3 linked regions of the Medicago truncatula genome follow. The protein of the gene in region 2 interacts with the protein of the main gene of each other region in a pairwise test. Links are inferred from orthologs where the notes say so. Each region holds a gene or a part of one and is shown on either strand. Other genes may lie near its edges.

What was found.
Region 1: the proteins of auxin response factor 2B (region 2) and shaggy-related protein kinase eta interact in binary tests that used the Arabidopsis thaliana proteins (3 or more experiments, as listed by UniProt). The link is inferred for Medicago truncatula from reciprocal best matches to the Arabidopsis thaliana genes ARF2 and BIN2.
Region 3: the proteins of auxin response factor 2B (region 2) and auxin-responsive protein IAA33 interact in binary tests that used the Arabidopsis thaliana proteins (3 or more experiments, as listed by UniProt). The link is inferred for Medicago truncatula from reciprocal best matches to the Arabidopsis thaliana genes ARF2 and IAA33.

The regions. Positions count from the first base shown.
Region 1 is NC_053043.1:5,064,125-5,071,539, reverse strand, and holds the start of shaggy-related protein kinase eta, read right to left. Parts: upstream 3,116-7,415; 5' UTR 2,938-3,115; coding exon 2,923-2,937; intron 1,893-2,922; coding exon 1,800-1,892; intron 1,663-1,799; coding exon 1,603-1,662; intron 1,526-1,602; coding exon 1,253-1,525; intron 1,169-1,252; coding exon 1,094-1,168; intron 993-1,093; coding exon 936-992; intron 561-935; coding exon 420-560; intron 291-419; coding exon 144-290; intron 43-143; coding exon 1-42. UniProt on the Arabidopsis thaliana protein: Negative regulator in brassinosteroid signal transduction pathway important for plant growth. May be also involved in auxin signaling pathway. Phosphorylates and increases the degradation of BZR1 and BZR2/BES1 by the proteasome.
Region 2 is NC_053049.1:44,357,095-44,364,460, forward strand, and holds the start of auxin response factor 2B, read left to right. Parts: upstream 1-4,305; 5' UTR 4,306-4,618; coding exon 4,619-4,769; intron 4,770-4,861; coding exon 4,862-4,974; intron 4,975-5,199; coding exon 5,200-5,295; intron 5,296-5,451; coding exon 5,452-5,508; intron 5,509-5,624; coding exon 5,625-5,780; intron 5,781-5,860; coding exon 5,861-5,945; intron 5,946-6,059; coding exon 6,060-6,150; intron 6,151-6,235; coding exon 6,236-6,400; intron 6,401-6,523; coding exon 6,524-6,643; intron 6,644-6,769; coding exon 6,770-7,017; intron 7,018-7,108; coding exon 7,109-7,366. UniProt on the Arabidopsis thaliana protein: Auxin response factors (ARFs) are transcriptional factors that bind specifically to the DNA sequence 5'-TGTCTC-3' found in the auxin-responsive promoter elements (AuxREs). Could act as transcriptional activator or repressor.
Region 3 is NC_053045.1:61,448,336-61,454,969, reverse strand, and holds auxin-responsive protein IAA33, read right to left. Parts: upstream 2,395-6,634; 5' UTR 2,129-2,394; coding exon 1,695-2,128; intron 966-1,694; coding exon 878-965; 3' UTR 616-877; downstream 1-615. UniProt on the Arabidopsis thaliana protein: Aux/IAA proteins are short-lived transcriptional factors that function as repressors of early auxin response genes at low auxin concentrations.

The sequences.
Region 1 (7,415 bases), on a different chromosome or scaffold from region 2:
AGCAAGATCAATAGCTTCTGGAGGCATCTTTTTGTGGAAGATCTGCACAATTTAGAAAGAAGTATTAGAATATGCAATATTGTCAAAGCAACTCAAATTTTGATCATCTAAAAAATCAGCAGTCGAAGAAGAGAGAAGCAGACCTTGTGCCATGGGTGTGCTTTTATTTGCGGAAACCTGAAGTCATTGTAATTGGGATTCATGCAGCGTACTTCCTCCCGGGTGGGTGTTCCAAGCACCTTTATAATATGTACGAGCTGGTCCACTGCATTTTCACCAGGGAATAACGGCTACAAAAGATAGCATTGTATCAGATGACAGGTAGGTCATAGGTGGAAGATACTAGTAGAAATACATCATTTTGCACTAGATGATGATGGTGATGACTGTGAGTATGAAAACAAAATAATGGCACAAACCTGGCCCAAAAGCAGTTCAGCAAGGACACAGCCAGCTGACCAAATATCAATTGAAGTAGTATACTCTGTGGCACCAAATATAAGTTCTGGAGCTCGATAGAAACGAGAACATATGTATGATATATTAGCTTCGCCCTTGACCTGAACAAAGAAAAAAAAATCTAAAATCAGTACCATATGAAAGTACTATGAATTCTTTGAAATAAAATAAATAAATAAGAGTGTAGGGAGACTCCAAAGCTTGCTGTTGAGCAGCGAAAGACATCATGCAAAGAAACTGACATCAACACAGTGTAATAATTACAAACATCTCATCTACAAGTGTCAAAACTTTATGAAAATTGATTGATTATCGGTTGACATTCTAAGTTACTGAATACTCAAAATGAAAAGAAAAAAAACAATTAATAATAATAATAATGTTACTGAATACTCAATTAAAAGGAAAAAAAATACAGGTGCACACCAAAGAAAGAAAACTAGGCATATTAAAATATGATGAGCAGGTCAACATACCAGCATTTTTGCACTTCCAAAATCACATAGCTTAACTTGATGTGAGAGAGGATCAACCTGGAGAACAAACATAATGAAATCAGGGCCAGAAGTAACTACTACGTTTACGAAAGAGTTCTAACTTTAAATGTATATCCAGCAACAGCATATTAACATACCAATATATTTTGAGGTTTCAAATCCCTGTGGCAAACTCCGGGAACAGTGTGGATATAAGCCAACCCCCTGAAGATCTGCATGCCCACCACAAGTTTATATCAGCCAATGACTGAATGAATTAGAGAAGTTTTTTATTCGCCAGAAAGTTAAAGGCATACCTGGTACATATAAAGTTTTACATAGATGATCGGTATTCTCTGATTAGCATTGTTGTAGTGCTTTAAGACCCGATACATGGATTCTGGAACATATTCCATCACCAAATTCAGAAAAAGTTCATCCGTACTTGTAGTTGAAAAGAAACAATGCTTCAAAGTGACCACATTTGGATGGTCCATCACACGCATCAATTGTAGTTCACGGTTCTTATATCTTCGGTCTTGCAAAACCTTCTTAATGGCTACTGCCTCTCCAGTTTCCAAGCATTTTGCCTAAGAAGAGAAAAATCAGCATGCGGCAAAAAAAAATGGTGGAGACAACAACAATTAGGAATCTAGCTTTAGCATACCTGGAAAACAATTCCAAATGATCCCGTTCCTACGACACGCTCTGCCATGTAACTAATAGTCTACAAGAACCATTGAACAAGATGTCAAACTTGGAATCCAGGAAAAATTATCAAATGGAACTGTTAACAACTCGGCAAATCACTCAATCTCAAAATTGAAATATTATCAGCAAAACAGGATTTACAGAATATGATACCTGTTTTGGCTCTCCATTTTTGCCTCCAATTGTTGTAGATATAATGTGACCAGTGAGGGAATCGTTCCCATTGATAACAGAAGTAGACATCTCCTGTTGAAATTGATGGAACATAAGAATTTGGAATTGCTCACAAAATACTTATAGATGGTTTGATTTCAAAGTGAAGTTAAAAATAGAAACAATATGATTAACTAATTGATGAACACATCAAAAATAGCAAGTAAAGACTACCATGAAGAACAAGATACACAATTAATTAAACCATCACATATCAACAGCATACTCAAAAACACAAAAGGTAAGTTTCTAAAAGATATAACATGAAGAAACAAATCTGGTACGCAACATATGATGATACCGCAAAAAGACGACCATGAAGGAAATAAGATGCTAAAAACTAAAGACCAAGCGACCAAGAACTATAGCAGCACTCAATCCAGAAAACAAACTTAATTTTTGACAAACTTTTATTGAAAAAATTGAAGTAAGAAACAAAAAAGCAACACAACAAAATATTTTGCTAAAATATCTTAAAATTTCAAAACAATACAACAGATAGAAACAGATAACAACAAATTGAACCAAAACATGTTCATCAGAATCGCAAATCAAACTGATAAACTACACATATAGCAAAACTAGCAACCAATCACAGATTCATGACAAACAAACAAAACAAAACCTTGAGAGTCCAACATCAACATAAGAACATGATCTGATTATAACATAACTGTCGGCAACAAACAAATCTTAAAAATTAAAAAAATTAAAAAAAAATCCAGTTCAATAAAGAAAAAAAATTAAAACTTCATAGAAACCCATAGATCAACTTCAAAATAAGCAAAATGGGTTTTCTCTATTAACCTCAAAGACCAAAAAAAATTTAGCAACAAATCAAATTTCCCCCAAAATAACAAACCCTAACAATCCCTTAATCAACTAACAAAAAAAAATTAAACAAAAATCACACAACCCAGATGAATTTACAGCTTCATAATCCAACAAAAACAATAAAAATCACAACTTTTTTCAATTTTAGCATTCATGGATCACAGTTTTTTCACAAACCAATCAAAAAAGCTAAAAAAAAAAAGGGGATTTTTATGCTACAAAAAAGTACCTTATCCTCAGACATGGTTGAAGGAGGAGGAAGAGAAGAAAGAAGAGAAGAATGAATCTAAGAAAGAGAGAAGAAGAGAATGGAAGAGAAAGTAAGAAGAAGAGAATGGAGGACCCAGCAAGGGAAAGACAAGTCCATGTGATTCCAGCTCTTCTTTTTCTTCTCTCTCTCCCCTTTCTTTTCTGTCTACCTTTTCTTTTTCTTTATTGTTATTATTTTTTCTTAATTTTCTTTTTTGGACTTTTGCTATTTTCATTGACCAGCTTTGTTGATTATCAACAATTTGCTGTTAATACAATCATTAGACGTGCTTAATTTAATCTGTCGGTCAAAAAAATATGTCTTTTTGTTTAATTTAATACTACTATACTAGTACTTGATTGAAAGTTGAGTTCATATGAATATGTCATCTCTCAATAGATAATAACAACGAAAATGTTAAGTTAATTGTGGTGATCGAAGTTTGAACTTTAATTTTTTTATTTTTATGAGTGAGTTTTTAATAACTATTGTTATTTTGTTTATCTAAAAAAAATTATAATCATACTTGATCGAGTTTTAATCGGTAATACTATAATTATAGGTTGTATATAAATTTTGTTGAATTTTTTAATAAAGCTAGCGTATGTTTGGTTTTGAGATTACATATAAATTGATTTTGAATTAGCGTGTGTTTGATTACGCGGTGGCAAAATTTGATTTTGATTGAATTAATTTTGCAGAATTGATTTTGGTTAAAAGTGAGTTTAACATAAAGTGGTTTGTGTTTGAATACCTTCAATGCAAAATTGATTTGTATGTAAGATGATGTTTGGATATTTTGTGTCAAAATTGCTTTTGAGCGTGGAAATGACCAAAATAGGTTTTAACATATAGATCAATTTTCTCATTCATTTATTTTGTTAATTTTTTTTTTCTCTCCTTCATTTATTTTGGTAAATTTTTTCTCAATCATTTAATTAGTTTTTCTTTTATTTTGGTTAATATAGTGGATTGATACATTTTTCTTGTTACATCTTCTTTAATTATTTTTTTATGTTAATTGATTAATAAAATACTGTCAAATACGTTGATTGGGTAGTAAGTAAAACATAAATATGTTGATTAAGTAAAAGGTAATAATATAAAGAAAGGAAAAAAAAATTAAAGGCAACCGACTCAACATAATGATGGGACTTCAGAGCCATTTAGTTTTAGAGAAGTGTTATTTGAATAACTATTTGGTTGACAACTTATGTGACAACAATAATTTACAAAGAAAAAGTAGGTATTTGCACGAAAATCAAAGCAATAGAGAGATAAAGTAACACATAATGTGAGTATGAGAGAAAAAGTTGTCACAAAAGTTATAAAAAAAAATGTTCAAATATCATTTCTCTTAGTTTTATCACTACTAACCTCTAGACAATGACACTGTAGCACATAACAGAAAGAAATAAGCGCGGGATGAAAAGGATAGAGCTGTAAAATATCTTGTGATTTCCATAAAATTGATTATATAGTCAGACGCAAAAGCTACACATGGTAGCTTCAACTGGAATCGATTTTGAAAGGAAGAATCATGTTTCCAACTGCTTGCCAAACATCCTTCAAGTGTCATGAAATCCCGTTTGTAGTGAAAAACGCACGTTTGAGGCATCTTACCGCAGAACCAAACAGGGGCTTTGTGTTGGAGATTAGTGGTTGTCGGATGTAGTTACACATGGAGGTTAGATTTGTGCATAATAACTTCGTGCTTTTCAAAAGATAAATAATATTTGTACAATTATATTTTGACAACTTTTGTGACAACTTTCTCTTTCATACTCATGTTATGTTTTTATTTTTCCTCTCTATTGTTTTGGCTTTTATGTCGATACTTTTTTTTTTATAAATTTATGGTTGTCTCAAAAGTTGTCATATAAATAGTTTTTTAAATAACACAACTCTTTCCGAAACGAGGCTTAGAACTAGTATAAATACATGCGTATTGTTAAATTTTCTATAACCATCAATAATAGCAATCACGACAACCAATTTAATAATACAAAATTTATTTGTTCTATTTGTTAAAAAAATGCTATAAGGGTATATTTGGTTCAATGAAGAGGAGGGAATGGATTTTAATGGAGTGAAAGAAAATGGAGGGGAGATATTTTAATTAAATATATGTTTGGTTCAAAAGAGAGAAGAGGATAAATTTTAATTAAAAATGTGTTTGGTTCCCAACAACGAAGTGATACTCAACCATTCAAACTCATAACTAAACGGCACCATAAAATCTCATTTCATATCTAAGTCTAACTAGTAACTACATGTAAACTTTTTAGCTATGATTTTAACCACACAACTCTTAGCATCTTATTGTTGAAATGGTATAGTCAACAACAGTTGATCATGACCATATATTTGCAAGTGCAACTTTGGTAACATAGCTTCCTTCTCCTTTCTATGTTAAAATTGTTGTTAGTATTTGTTATAGAACATTGTTCATAATCTAATGCATCATTTTCTCTTTAAAAAATATAAGTTAGGAATAGAAATAATATAGAGAAAAATATTCCCAGAAGAAGCAAAGAAGAATGCATTAAATGTAAATAAAAGAAATAGTACAAACTCGTTAGTGATAATCATATGTAAGGGACATTTCATACAACTCATAATAGTAAATGTCAAAACTTACCCATTTCTCCGTTAATATAATAGTATAAAGAAGAGGGATAAAAATTGTGTACACAATTTTTTTTTTTTTTTTGAGAGAATGTGTACCAATATATGGTTGCCTTTGTGAAATAGTTACACAATTGGAACATAATTATAGATTAGATTCATGTAAAATTACATAGTTAAAATTATACAGTTGTGAAATAGTTACTACTCTATTTTTTTAACAAATCTTTGTACTACTTGAAAAGTTACTTAGATTGAATTTTCTTTTTAAATTTACCATAATCAAATTTACATAGAAAGTTTGGGTACGTTTATTTTTTGTTTTGTATTTCAATTAATTAACCACCTTCAATACTAGACAAGGGAAATAATATTGCATGCAAACTCTGTTTATAACAGCAAAAATATTACATCGGATGAGTATATAATTGCTAAAATACTATCAATAAAAATATGATGCATCCATGTAATTCAGATGCCACACATTAATTATGTGATCATATGGTCTTTTTTTGTTACTTTTGATCATTTGGTCGTTTAATCTTAAATCAACAATAAAGATTATTTAAAGATGATTTTACATGAGTGTAATATGAACCGGCCAATCTAAGATTTATGATCAAGATCAATCAATGCACACAACTTTGTGCTTCATTACTGCATGTTTTCCTTAATAAATTGTTCAAGAAATAAAATGTGATAAAAAGATATAAGTTATCCTCCGATAAACTTTTTTGAAAGAAAGAATTTTATAAGTGGTAATAAAAATGATCAAACATAAATTCACATATAGCTTTCATTAAAGAGTGGATTGAGTTTAGTTTTTTAGACCAAATTTTCTTCTCTCAAATCTATCACCACTTCAGAAGAATTATAATATGTTAAGAAATGATGTGTCATCATGATAGACATTGTATTAATAGAATTTTTTTTGCTATTGATTTTTCATAGCATGTTTTTGCAAGTCTTTCAAAAATAAAACAATAAAGTATATAATATCACGGGGGCCAAAAGTAGAAAATGTTAGGTTATTGATCAATTATAGGAATTTTCTAAGCTTTTTATACCAGGGTGCTAAAAAGTTTCTAAGATAGGACAACTAATAGATCAAATGTTACTTTGTATATGTTTGGGCCAAGACGAATGGCAATCCAACATTTAAAAACACGTTTGATATAAACTACTTCCTCCGTTCCATTTTATATGTCATTCTAACAAATACACATGGATTAAGAAATGCAATTAAAGTGTCAATATTATTTTTTATCATTCCAATATTATTTTTTATAAAGTGTCAATATTATGTTGGGGTGGTCGTAGACCGCCAGCGGCCTTTGGTATAATTCCAAGATGGCGGTGGTTTGGTGGTTGATATGGGTTGCGCAACACCCTTTCTCGGTGGTGATGGCCTTGGATTCGTGGGTTGGTGTCCGGATTTGTGTTGTAGTCATTCCGTCGTAGCGGTTCTCGTCGGTGGTTTTATTCCTCTTCTGCGTGATCCATATGATGGTGGTGTAGCAACTCATGGTGGTGGGGTTGATGGTGGTTTGTTATGGCAGATTTGGGTGGTTTTCGTATATGTTGGTATATGTTGGCGTTGATTTTCGTAGTGGCTCTTTTGTGTTTGTTTCGTTTTGTCCCAGATCCCTGTGCAGGAAGTGATGGTGGTGTGAGGTGGTGACAGTGGTGAGGTAAGTCTCGGTTTTGGAGGTAATAGGAGGTGTTGGTGGTGGTTTTAGTACAATAGTTGCGGTTGTTTTCTTCCTTGCGTGTGCTGAGTTTGCGGCTCTTAGAAAAATACAAATTGTCTGGTGTTTTTGTGTGGTGGTTGTTTCCTTCCAATC
Region 2 (7,366 bases):
ATGACCTTGGCATTTAATTTGTTAATGTAATTTATTTAATATTGATCACTGGCAGCAACAGGTCACTCATATTGTATTGACCTACAAATACAAGTTACCACACCAGCATAAAAAAAATAAAATTGTCAAGACTAGTCTCTTACCAAACAAGACCCATGTTGCTTGCGTACCTTAAACGGCACCGTCAAAGATTACATGGTTCAAGCAGATTCAAAAAAGTTCGTATAATAACTCGGGCGCCATTTACGGTAGGAGAGGTGAATAGGTCTCCTATCGTAGGAGACCGTATAAAAAGACAATTTTTTTTTTGTTGTTAAAATAACATGTGTTTAAGTTAAATTCTATTTAAGTTATTCATTTAACTGCAAGGACAGTGTTGGTATTTCATCTTAAATAAAAAATTATTTTTCCATCTAGATCTGGAAATTGTTAAATTATTTTTTTTGTTTAAGTTAAATTATTTTTGCTTCAACTTCTTTCGTGTTTGTGAGAGGAAATTGTGGCAAGTTAGAGAAGTTTTGTTATTTTTATCATATCCATTCTACCCTTGAGTTTTCACTTGGAGGGAATAAACATGGAACGCATGAGCTTGCTATGAATTTTTCCAGTTTTTCCAACAATGCCAAAAACATCCTTTCTTAAATTTGAATCCAAAATCAATTGCATTTTTATAAATCAATATATATGTTAAAAAAATACAATCCTAGTGGGTCACTTATTGCAAATCTCAGCCATTCAAAAGCTTCAAAGTAAATTCAATGGTTGACATCCATTTTTCAAAAAAAAAAAAAAAAAAAACAGGTCTCCTACGGTAGGAGACCTATGAATGTCATGGACCGTAGCCTTTGCCAATAACTCGATCTAAGAAATTTAACTAGACGTGATAATCATAAATATTGTAAAAATGTTTGAGAAATTATGCGTAGATTGATGATGATGTGTCGATACTGTTTCCAAGGTGAACCCTGACTTGGATCTCTTTAAAACACGTTTCCTTAATATTTTGGTGCAAAACTTTAACGTGGCAATGATTTTCATTTATGTATTTATAGAGATTTAAAACTGGGTTGAGCCGTACTTTAAACTAACGGATCCTGCGGTAGAAACAAGGGGTGTTAAATGCTCGTGGTTTAGGCAAACTTGTTGTAAGCGATGCACACGTGGCAATATGGAAAGTTAACATCACGATGGGCAACATCCTTGCTTTGAATTTTCACCTTTTTTTTTAGTTTGAATTGCATTTGATGTATCCATTAAAAGTTGGGTTGATGATGCTTTATCCGTGTAATATATGTGATTTTCAGTTTTTTTTCTATATTTTTTTTTTTTAGTTATCCCTTTATAAAAAAAGTTTGTTTTGGAAAACCCCCTATGATATATATATATATATATATATCACTCAAAAATCTCTCACTAAAATTAAATTTGAGTTTGAGCATTACTATAAATATAACTCAGTTGAGAGTGATGTGATAGTATACCAAAATCGAAACCACAATTTCGAATTCTCATCTTACTGATCTTATAAAGTGAATTTTTACCTATTGAATTACTTGAGAAAAAACGATACAGATTGAAAGTGTGTATCTCAAGGTGAGTAATTGCTTAAATCGTAATCTTTGACTTTCCTCTTACTATCATAAATCTATCATTTACTCCCTCCATTTCAAAATAAGTACTCCATCCGTTCCTTGTATCACTTTTGGAGAAAAAATTTGTTCCTATTTAACTGTCACTTTCAAAGTTCAATGTAACATTAAATGTTGTTTTACCAATATTATTCTTAGTTATTTATTGTGGAGAGAGAAATATATGAAATGACATATTAAATGAATAAGGTCATTATAGTAAAAGTACAGCTTATTGCATCAAAAATAGTATCAATTGTTGATTGTCTTGGTTTGTGTAAAACGTCAAAATGTGACAATTAAAAAGGAATGAAAGTAGTATCATTTTAGCAAAAAAAAATTGTTTCAAAATGAATGTCACTTTCAGTTTTCAATGCAATAATAACTTTTTCTTTTCAATTGTACATTTCAATTAATATTATGTTACATTACTTCCAAAGTATTATTTTTTCTTTAATGAAAAACAAACCAATAGTTGATTAGGATAATTTGGTAAAATTGTTATGACATTTGACTACTTTATTTCATTCCTTAATATATGTGCAATTGACTAAAATGACACTCATTTTGAAACGGATTGAGTAATTTTTTTTTTGTTTTGGTGAAATTTTCCTTTTTATTGCCGTTATTAATCAGCACTTATATGAAATAACCATGGATAGTTTTGACCGTCTGTAGTAAATATTATTAGAGCATCCACAATGAAGACCCTCAAATTGAAGGTTTTAAGCGGATCCCACGTGTACACATCATTTTATTTTATTTTATAATAACAGTACCTAATAGGTACTCGGTCACTCCAATGAAGATCTTATAACAAAAAGTCTAAATAGGTCCCACCACTAACATATTATTTTACGCTTAAATGCTTTTTTGGTCCCTTAACTATTTAATTGGTATCGCTTTGGTCCCTTAACTAAAAAAAAGATTGTTTGAGGATTTTAAGTTTTTTTTTAGTATCGTTTTGGTCCCTTCTGTTAGGTTTCCGTTAGGGTTTTAAAAAAATGTTAACTCCTGGACACGTGTCACCTTGTCATTGGCTCTGAGTTTTTTTTTAATATATATATATATATATATATATATATATATATATATATATATATATTTTAAAAAAAAATCCCAAAGCCAATGGCAAAGTGACACGTGTCCCAAAGTTAACACGTGTCATCTTGTCATTGGTTCTGGGAATTTTTTACAAAAAAATAAAATATATATATTTAAAAAAATTAACTTTTTTTTTTATAAAAAATATATTTTTTTGTAAAAAAAAAAATCTCAGAGTCAATGACAAGGTGACACGTGTCCACACTTAACGTTTTTTATTAAAACCAACGGAAACCTAACAGAAGAGACCAAAACGAGACTAAAAAATACTTAAAATCATCAAACAATCTTTTTTTTAGTTAAGGGACCAAAGTGATACAAATTAAATAGTTAAGGGACCAAAAGAGCATTTAAGTCTTTATTTTAATAAAAAAGTGTGTGTGGACCACTTAAAGATGAGGTCTTAAGTTAGACCTCATCTCTTAGAAGACCCCTAAAAAAAAAATTTACAATAAAAGTACCTATTAGATATTAAATCTTAAATGGTGAAGACTTTACCATTGTAGATGCTCTTATTAATGAAAGGTCCAATTAGTCCCATATTAGGGGATCTTACTAATATTATATGAATTTTTCACATTCGACACGGAATGTTGGAAAATAATTTTGGTAGAGATAATAATATACCCCAATAGAGGGGCAATAATGTTGGTTGATGAGATAAGAAAAGCAATCTCTAAGACGGAAATGGGGGCGACAACTCCTGTTCAATCTTCACGTTTCAGTGCTGCCCTTACTGCCCAAGCGCATCAAACCTCTTATATTATCACAACTCATACAACCGGCTCCTTAAAATCAATTTTTATTTTATATCACTGCCCATACGTTACAAATTTATTATTTATTATTCATTCCAATTAATTAATTTAATCAATTGAATGCATAAATCTAGGAGAAAAATATATATATTTTTTTTTAAAATTAAACCATATTCATAAACACTTGGATTGGATGAAATAATGAAGGGTATTTTATAATTGTTTTAAGTTCAAATATATCATAAAATAAAATACAAGTGTTAATTTTTTTTATAAAGTGTTTAATTTTGTATCATAGTTTTATTCGATAAAAAAATGTCTTGTTAATCCGTACTTTAAGGACAATGGTTAAGAATTTAAAAGAGGAACTAATTTATGAATTTTATATAAAAAAGTTTTTATTTTTAATTTTTAATATAGTGAAAACACAAGTTTCAATAAATTTTTTTTTCCTTAGACTCTTAAAAAAAATTAATCTTTACAATTATGCGTAGAAATATTTGATAAAAAATGTAAAAAAGGTGAGGAAGTAACAAGGGAAAGTTAAGTAACGCGGATGGTGTTAAATGCACCCTTCTTACCCGTACCCCATTACACTGCCCGTCCACAGCACGACAACGCCATTTCCCAATAAAAACATGACAACTTTCCCGCGACCGTTAAGACAAACGCCGTTACTTTCTCCATCCAATCCTATCTTGACGTCTATTAACACCGTTTATTCTTACCCCCTTATTTCCAATGAGCCGCCTTTTATTTATGGCGTTGTTTGCGTTTCCCTAGCACCAAAACTTCCTCACTTCTGATACCCGGTTGGAAAAGCAGGTAAACCTGTTATCACCGGTTGTATCTCATTTAACCGCGGTTAAAATCATTGACCACTCTAGTTAAAGTCCTCTCTTCCGACACTCCTTCTGGTCCTCCTGCTACCATTTATCATCATCATCTTAGAGAGAGAGAGAGATAAAAATAACAAAACAAAATATTGAGAGAGAGAGAGAGATAGAAAACTTAGAGAGAGAAAGTGGGTAGTTGAACGAGTCATCGTCAATTGAAGGCTTGTTTCTTTGTTTTTGAAGATCAAGAAGAAGAACGTTGTTGTTGTTGTTGAGTTTTCATGAAGAGTGGATGTTTGGGATGAGAGATCTGGAAGAAGAAAGAAACATGGCATCATCAGAAGTATCTATGAAGGGAAATTCTGTCAACGGAAAAGGTGAAAACAACGTTGATGGTGTTGGAGATGCTCAAAATGGTTCTTCATCGTCATCAACAGGAAGAGGTAACAACGTTAACGTGGTTTTATCTGTAATTAAGGTTTTGTGTAACAAATTATGGAGTGATAATGTTTTTTTTTTCTTTTCATTTTTCCAGAAGCTGAAGCTGCACTTTACAGAGAACTATGGCATGCGTGTGCTGGTCCTTTGGTAACAGTTCCAAGAGAAGGAGAACTTGTGTTCTATTTTCCACAAGGACATATTGAACAGGTAACACAAACATTACCTATTTTCCGACAATTATCTTTCATGGTTTGGTTCTTGTTTTCTTTAGTTAAGTTAGCTACCGGTTTATCTGTGTGTCAACTCAGATTTGTCACACTTAACTCGTTTTGGTTCCTAATTTAGCAGCATCTGGGTTTTTTCTTTTTTATATTAGAATTAGAGTTATTATGATGATGATTATGGTGAAATTAACATAATTCCATACATTAGGTGGAAGCTTCAACAAATCAAGCATCGGAACAACACATGCCGGTTTACGATCTCCGACCTAAGATCCTTTGTCGGGTCATCAACGTTATGCTAAAGGTAAATTTTCCTCTTTTCCTTTTTTTTTTTTGAATAATTTAATAAATTCCTTTCTTTTTCTAACAGTAACACAGTTGTTTTGTTTGTGTAATTATAAAATATAATAAAATTATTTATCTTTTAATTATTGATTAATTTTTGTATATTTTTTTGTAGGCGGAGCCAGATACTGATGAGGTGTTTGCACAAGTGACTTTGGTACCAGAGCCCAATGTGAGTTTTTCCACTAATTTTCTTTTGGTTTCTTTGGTTTGGAGTAACAAACACAGCATGTTCTTATTTTTTTCTTTGTGTGTTGTTTTGGATTGTGGATCTGGATGATATTGTAGCAAGATGAAAATGCTGTTGAGAAAGAAGCTCCACCTGCTCCTCCGCCGAGATTTCATGTTCATTCGTTTTGTAAAACGTTGACCGCATCTGATACCAGTACTCATGGTGGTTTTTCTGTACTTAGACGACATGCTGATGAATGTCTTCCTCCTCTGGTTTGTTCTCTGTTCCCTCTTCTTCCTCCTTCTGTTTTTCCATATGGATGAAATTGATGGTGTTTGTTGTTTGGTGATAGGATATGTCAAAGCAACCACCTACACAGGAATTGGTGGCCAAGGATCTGCATGGGAATGAGTGGCGTTTTAGGCATATTTTTCGCGGTAATTACTAGTCCATCTTAAACTGTTGACCACTTGATTTATTTCTTATTAATTTTTGTTCATTTTTTTTTTTTTTTTTTTTTGTGTTTGATGTGTGAGGTGAATTGATTTCAGGTCAACCGCGTAGACATTTGCTGCAGAGTGGTTGGAGTGTTTTTGTCAGTTCTAAGAGGCTGGTTGCTGGGGATGCATTTATATTTCTGAGGTTTGCTTAGTTGTTATAACATCATTTTTGAATTAGTGTTTTTTTGTTGTTGTTGGTGATTTTGACTAATTTAGGATTTTTCCAGAGGTGAGAATGGGGAGCTTCGAGTTGGTGTCAGGCGTGCAATGAGACAGCAGGGTAATGTTCCATCCTCGGTTATCTCTAGCCATAGCATGCATCTTGGTGTTCTTGCAACTGCCTGGCATGCTGTTTTGACTGGGACCATGTTCACTGTTTATTACAAACCCCGGTATGCAATTTGTTCTTAAACCATGTCTGCTCTGTTCTAACTATTATCTGATTTGAGTGTTCTTTCTGATTTATTTCCCTAGGCATTGAGTTTACACCGTTCTTGCTCATGTTTCTTCTGCAGGACTAGTCCAGCGGAGTTTATTGTTCCGTATGATCAATACATGGAGTCTCTAAAAAATAATTATACAATAGGCATGCGGTTCAAAATGAGGTTTGAGGGTGAAGAGGCTCCTGAGCAAAGGTGTGAATGATCAAAACAATAATGTCTTTTTTCTCTGTTTAAGTTTTAATGTTACTACTGCTTGCTGGTTATGTCCATTTATTCTTTATCTAATGGTTTATTTTGATTTGGTTTTTGTATGTGTAGGTTTACGGGTACCATTGTTGGAATTGAAGATTCCGACTCCAAAAGATGGCCAACATCTAAATGGAGATGTCTCAAGGTTAGATGGGATGAAACATCTAACATACCTCGTCCTGAGAGAGTTTCCCCTTGGAAAATAGAGCCTGCTCTTGCTCCTCCAGCTCTAAATCCTCTTCCAATGCCCAGGCCTAAAAGGCCCCGTGCTAACGTGGTGCCGTCATCCCCAGATTCTTCTGTTCTTACCCGCGAAGGTATTGTGAGAACTTGATATTTCTAAGAATTCCTCCTTTGCGTTGTGGTTTTTGTATGAAGCCTGATTTGTTTTTGCTGATCAATTAACAGCATCGTCAAAAGTAAGCATGGACCCTTTGCCCACTAGTGGTTTCCAGAGGGTCTTGCAAGGTCAAGAATCATCGACCTTGAGAGGAAATTTGGCTGAAAGCAACGACTCTTACACTGCAGAGAAGTCTGTTGCGTGGACTCCTGCAACTGATGAAGAAAAGATGGATGCTGTTTCTACTTCAAGAAGGTATGGTTCAGAGAACTGGATGCCAATGTCAAGGCAGGAACCAACGTATTCGGACCTTCTGTCGGGATTTG
Region 3 (6,634 bases), on a different chromosome or scaffold from region 2:
CTTAGTTATTTCATCGTTTTGCACCCTAAATGAATGCTTGAATGAAGATCTCAGCCGATCAAGTTTCCCTTTAAATTAAAAGCTATATATCTTTCAACTTTTGCAGATACACCTTCTACAAAAAGTTTACACATGATTAAGCTCCTAACAAAAAAAAGCTTCTAACAAGCACACACTATATTTTTTTTTTAGATAAAAATCTAACAATACCTAGATTTTTTTCTTCTTCTAAAATCTATTAAAAAAAATTAAATAAATAAATAACGATTGCATATCGTGACAAAAAAATAAAAAAATAACGATTCCATATATAAATTAAAACTAGCCTTTGCATAATATTTGTAGATATCTTCTATTTTTGGTGAAACTTTTAGATACCTTCTTTCTATAGATATTTAACTTCTCCTAAACCATTCAGACACTTCGTTAACTCCCAATCTCTCCTCTAGATTCAATGTATCACTTATCATATCTCTCCCACTCTCTTGCTTATCAATGTATCTATTAGTTTTATTCTATATATACACACACACATACATAAAAGTGTCCTTTTTCAGAAAAAACAAAATACTTTTGCTGATTGTTAGTAAAAATGATGTGTGTTATACAATATCATTTTTCAGAATCAATATCCCTTTTATTCATACAAATTAAAGCACAACTTTACTTACATGTAATTTCAATTGGATTAATTAACTTACTCATAATCAACCAGCATTTCTTGCTGGCGTTATATTAGTACACCGATCTTATTACTGACCATCTTTATATAGCCAAATTATTTTAATTTACTTCATACTTTTCCTGAAAGTACAAATTAAATTAACAATCCCAAAACGATTAACCATCTTTCATGTTTTTGATGTGGTAGATAAGCTTATGCCTCTCCTGTACTTCTTGTACCTTTCCTTGAGTTCCCCTTCGCTGGAAGTATCCGAATTCTCTTTGCCACACGTACAAAATCTCTGAATGCAAACACACATAACATAACTATCAGAATAATAATAATCAATGCATGCTTATAATAATAAATAAATACAAATTATAAGCCAATTAGCTCTATTAAAAAATTGAATTTACAAAATAAAAATTAAAAACGAAAAAAAAAAATCCATCTCAAATGTAATGTTAATTGTTAAGTGTCAGCGACACAAAATTTGAAAAAGACTCTTTATATATGTTTTCAATTCTAATTTATGTTGGTAATTCAAATTTTTATTCTTCTAATAACAAATAATAGAATATAAGTTAATCAAGTGATTATGATCAAATGGTTAATGAGTTTTACCAAATGACATATCTTCAGGAGAATCTGAACTTAATTCTTGGATGGAACAACCAAACTCCAGACCTCTTTCTGATAAGAACAGGAGGGTTAACACAAAAATTAAAGTGGTTTGGATGGAACCATCAGCCACCACAATATGAAGTATTATTTTAATTTTTTTTGACAAGAATACAATCTGAAGTATTATAGTAACGTAAAATTTTCAACTATTTATATGGCATGATTTTTTTATTTTTTTTACAGGAATTATATGGCATGATTGACAACTGATTATATAGTTTTTCATTTAGAAGCTATATTTTTCTCAAGCATTTATAAACAAGCAAATTAAATAGCTCATAATAATTAATTAAGGAAGAGAGAAATTTATATATATAATTGAGAGATGAACAAGATCGATGCTTACTTCCAGGTAAGATCACCAGCAAGAAGAAGATCATTCTCCATGTCTTCATAGGCAATAACATGACCAGGAATGGCATTAGAAAGATCAAGATGATGATCACCGGCGTCGCAGTCATCCGTGCAATCGACAAACATCTGGCGGAGAGCCTTGGCCAGACTTTGGTAGCTACCGTGGTTGTGAAGGCTGATGCGTTGGCAGATCGAACGGCCCTCCAACACAACTGTCACAGCAGGAACTACACTACTAGAGACAAGATCATCATCCAGCTCAAGCCCATGTGAGAGTGTTTGAAGTTTGTTGTACTTGGTTTTTTTATTATTACTGGCATAGAAATTAGCCAAAGATGAAGAACTAGTTGAAGATGATGCACCTATGATATTTTTCTGTCTTCTATGATCTTGTTGCCATCTTTGGGGGTCAAAACTGTTCATCATGAGTATAGTTGTGCAAATTTACCAAAGAAGAGGAAATATATGTGCATGTGCAGTTGTGCACTCAAGAGTCCTAGTGCAAATGGTAATTGGATGTAACTAGTTAATTTTGAATCTAATTGTAGGTAGAAATGGATCAAAACAGAAAAGGGTTTGTTTGTGGTGTTCCTGGGGCACTATATTTGATGATACATATATATATTTGATTGATGTTGAGAAATGAAAATGTACATGTAGTAAGCACAAATGTCGGGAGTGGTCAGATAGATGTCTAGAATCCACCCCACTCTCGTGGCTTAGTTTTACTTTTTCAAGATCATATTTAATAGTATACTCAAATCCTATAACTATTACTACTAATTTTTCCCTTATAAAATATAAGTAGTAATATTTGAACAACTTTTGTGATAATTTTTTTTTTCTCTTTTTATTGATCAAAAACAATGGAAAGAGAATAACGTAAGTATTAGAGAGAAAGTTGTCAAAAAATTATCACAAATTAATTATACAAATATCATTTCTCATAAATATCTCATTTACTTTTCAAACTAGAGTAGTTCTTATCTCTTAAAACGGTTAAGGGTGTGTATGGTTGACCATAATCCACTCGCGGCTCATACCTATTGGACTTTGTTACATCCAAAAAATGTATCCCGTTCATTTTCATAATTAACATTAGAATGAATGTAGTGATCAAAACAATTTAGAACACACTTGATGACAATGTCTAGAAAGACACAACTCAGAACTACACGCTAAAGGAACACCTTTACTTTTTGAGGAATTTTTAAGCTGGCTAAAATATGGTTTTGGTCCCTGCAAATATGTCCCGTTTTGGTTTTAGTCCCTGTAAAAAAAATTGTTGTTTTTGGTCCCTGCAAAATATTTTGCAAGAACCTTTTTAAAAATCAAAAGATTTTGCAGGGACTATTTTTCTAATAAATGGGTTCGGTTATCATATGTCACGTGTGTAAATCATCACAAAAGTGAGGTCAGAGACGAAAACCAAAACGAGACATATTTGCAGGGACCAAGAACAAAAAAAAAAGAATTACATAGACGAAAACCAAAATGAGGCATTCAAAACCATATTTTAGCCTTTCAACTTTCAAATTTTCACTCAATTTCCATTAACACGAAGAATACTATTTATCCACTCGGTCCTCCACAATAATATGGTAGGACGATTTCACATTATACTCTTCATGATTGGTAAACTTCCAGGCATATTCATGACGATCAATATCACCATAACTTGGAATGGAAAACATAGTAGTAATAACATGTCTCCAAAGACTAGGTTTTCGATAATTAAAAGATCTTTTTTAAGAATGACTAGGTTTTTATCCCACTCGATCGGTCGGTCGGTTTGACCTATTTACATCTTTAATAGTAAACCTTCAAATTTGTTGTGTCAAAAAAAAAAAAAAAAAAACTTGCATTTAGATTTATGGTGGGTGATGTTGTCGAGATGAATTACAATAATACTACAATTTTCATTGGGATGGCCACACAATTTTAATTGAATGCGTCAAGAAAAAGCAAGCCTATAAGCTTTGCACACGAGATTAGACTAAAGAAAGCTTAAAACAATCTTGAAAATTGCAGTGTGCATGAGCAACGGAGACGACCGCGCTGCAGTCGCCGAAAGGTTTGCAACATTTAGAGACCCAAAGTAATGCGTTTAATTTGCTCGATCACTAAAAATCTAATAAAATTACAAGCAATGAATTCAAGTAGTATATGAAGTGGAACGTGCAAAACACAAATTCACTCGAAGAAATAGTAAATTGATACAAACCCTGTACCAAAAAAATTTAAAATAAATGATCAAAGAAAGAAATTGAAACCATGAATAAGTTGATACAAAACCCTCTAGAATTATAAACGCATGTTAGATTTGTTGTTAAGAAGTTGACTTATTCTTTTACAAGGAGCAACATATTCAAATATCTCGATTAGTGGTGACTGGGTGACATATAGGGGTGTCGAAGCTAAAAAACTTTACCATTTTATATCCAAAATATTGAAGATATATTAATATCTACTAATTATATACACCCTCCGATCACAGTTATAGGAAAAAACAATCATTTAATAATCACGGCTAGCAGAATAAACAAGTTGGAACTGTTCCCAATTACATACACCTTCATCCATTTGTTTCTGTTTATAAAGGTATGAGTTCAAGTTCCGTACTCAGGTTAGAATCTCATTGATGGGTAAGGTAAATATTAAAATACATTTGTTATGATGCTCGGTTCACTTTTTTTTTTTCTTCATAAAAAATAAGAGACATGTGGTTATTCAACTAAAAGAGACATGTATGTCACTATAATTTAAGGGTTCCCCTAAACTCTTAACTAGAAACTCTTATTTTCTTTGTGAAACAGTAAACAATTAATAATTGTAACTAACAATTTAGGGTATAATTATGAGTAAATTACACTCTCCTTCCCTCAAAGATGCATGAATTACACTCCCCTCCCCTCTTAAGTTGAAATATACACTCCCCCCCCCCCTTTTATTCAAAACACATTAGAAAATATTTCACTTCCCTCCCCTAAGAGAAGCTTGAATTACATTCCCCTCCCCTTTTATGTTAAGACCTAAACTTTACTTCCTCAATAATTTTTTTTTATTTCTAATAATCTAGCAAAAAAATTGATAATCTAACATAATTAAAAAAAATGGTATTGCGGGTCTATTTTAATATAATCAAAATTTGAATACATATTTTTCCCTATATTTTTATTCACAGTTGCATTAACATATAATTTTAAACCTTATTATAAAATACGAAACAACCCAAAATAAAATTAAAATATGTGAAAAATTACTAAAGACAATAAAGTATGGTTATTTAAAAGTTAATTTTATATTCTAAATTATAAAATTAATAAGAAAATATTCAAATTTAATTATCATTGACATTTAAATTATAAAGTGATGAATTTATTTTCCTTAAATGGTGGTTCAAAATTTATATATATCATAAAAATATTTATTTATGTTAAAATAGATTAAAGTGTAATGCATATTTATTTATTAAGGGAGGTGATTGTAATTCAAGCATCTTATATGATAGGGAAGTATAATTTTTTTTCAAGGGAGCAGAGTGTATATTTTAACATAAGAGGAGATGGAAGTGTAATTTAAGTATCTTTGAAGGGAGAAGAGTGTAATTTACTTTATAATTATTTATTTTCAACGGCATGTTTTTGCTTAACTGGTTCACATTGTGTGCATGGCTTCAAGGGTCACTATTTCAACTCAATGTGGGCAGAGCCTAGTTTAGAGGATAAGTTGGATAATGTTGACCTTGATTACTGTTAAAAACAAAACGTACGACATCATTAAATATATTTTAAATCACCTTAAACTTTTAGCAAAACAAGCTGGAATTGCCTTTAAACTTCACCACAATGCACGTATAGCTAAAAAAGTTAGACACGGTTTTATGAAATAATTTGGCAAACCACTATCCTTTCCATTTTAAAACGAGGAATGATAACTAGACACAAAATTTTAAACACAATACCAACATCCAGTTTTGTCATTTCAACCTTAAGTTAAGGGCAGCTTTGTAAAACCACCACACACCCTCTTTTGTTTCTCTACCTCGTGCCACATCATTCATTCTCTCTTCTGTTTAGTTTCTCTCAGAACTGAACCACAAGTCCATAACCACTGTCCTCGCAACACCTCCGTCCTCCCACCACCACCGTCACCATCCTCCGACGCAGTGACCCCCGTCCATTCTCTTTCTCTCTCCATCTCTCTGAACTCTCACTGTCCTCCAGATCTCCCACCGTTGGCCTCCCCACCACCACCAACCTCCCACTGTCAGCACCACACCTCTTCCTCACAATCACCATCATCAATCATCGCCTCCCGTCATCGTCAACACCATCGCGGACCTTCAAATGATGTCTAGATCTGGATGTTACGCCTGCCGTCACACGCTGCCGGAGAGAAATGGTGGATGTTGCGGCGGTCGGAAGCTTATCGAAGAGGGAGCGGAGGCTGAGCATGTTTGTGTGGAGAGAGATCGAAGGAGGTTGAAGAGGAGAGAGAGTGAGTGAGGGTTGCAGTAGAGGAGAAGAGGGAAAGAAAAATAAAAGAAATTAAAAAAATGAAAAATACCGTACAAGTATACGGTGATGTCGAAATTGTGTTTAAAGGTTTGTGTTCGTTTATCATTTCCGTTTTAAAATACATATCTCAATCAATCACGGAATATATGTCAATACACAATTTTAATCATTAATATATTTGATTATCTATAATAAAAATTTTAAAAAATATTCATTGAAATAAAACAATTTACATGCTAATATTTATATTTGTATATTAGTTTAAAAATATGATCAAAGTAAGTTATTTTGGAACGGATAGAGTACAATTCAACGGAATTTAATTGCTTTTAAGTTCCTAATTAGCAACATTCGATACACATGTGATTCCTTGAAAATACAATGAGACACTAATGTCCTAATATGCAGAGAT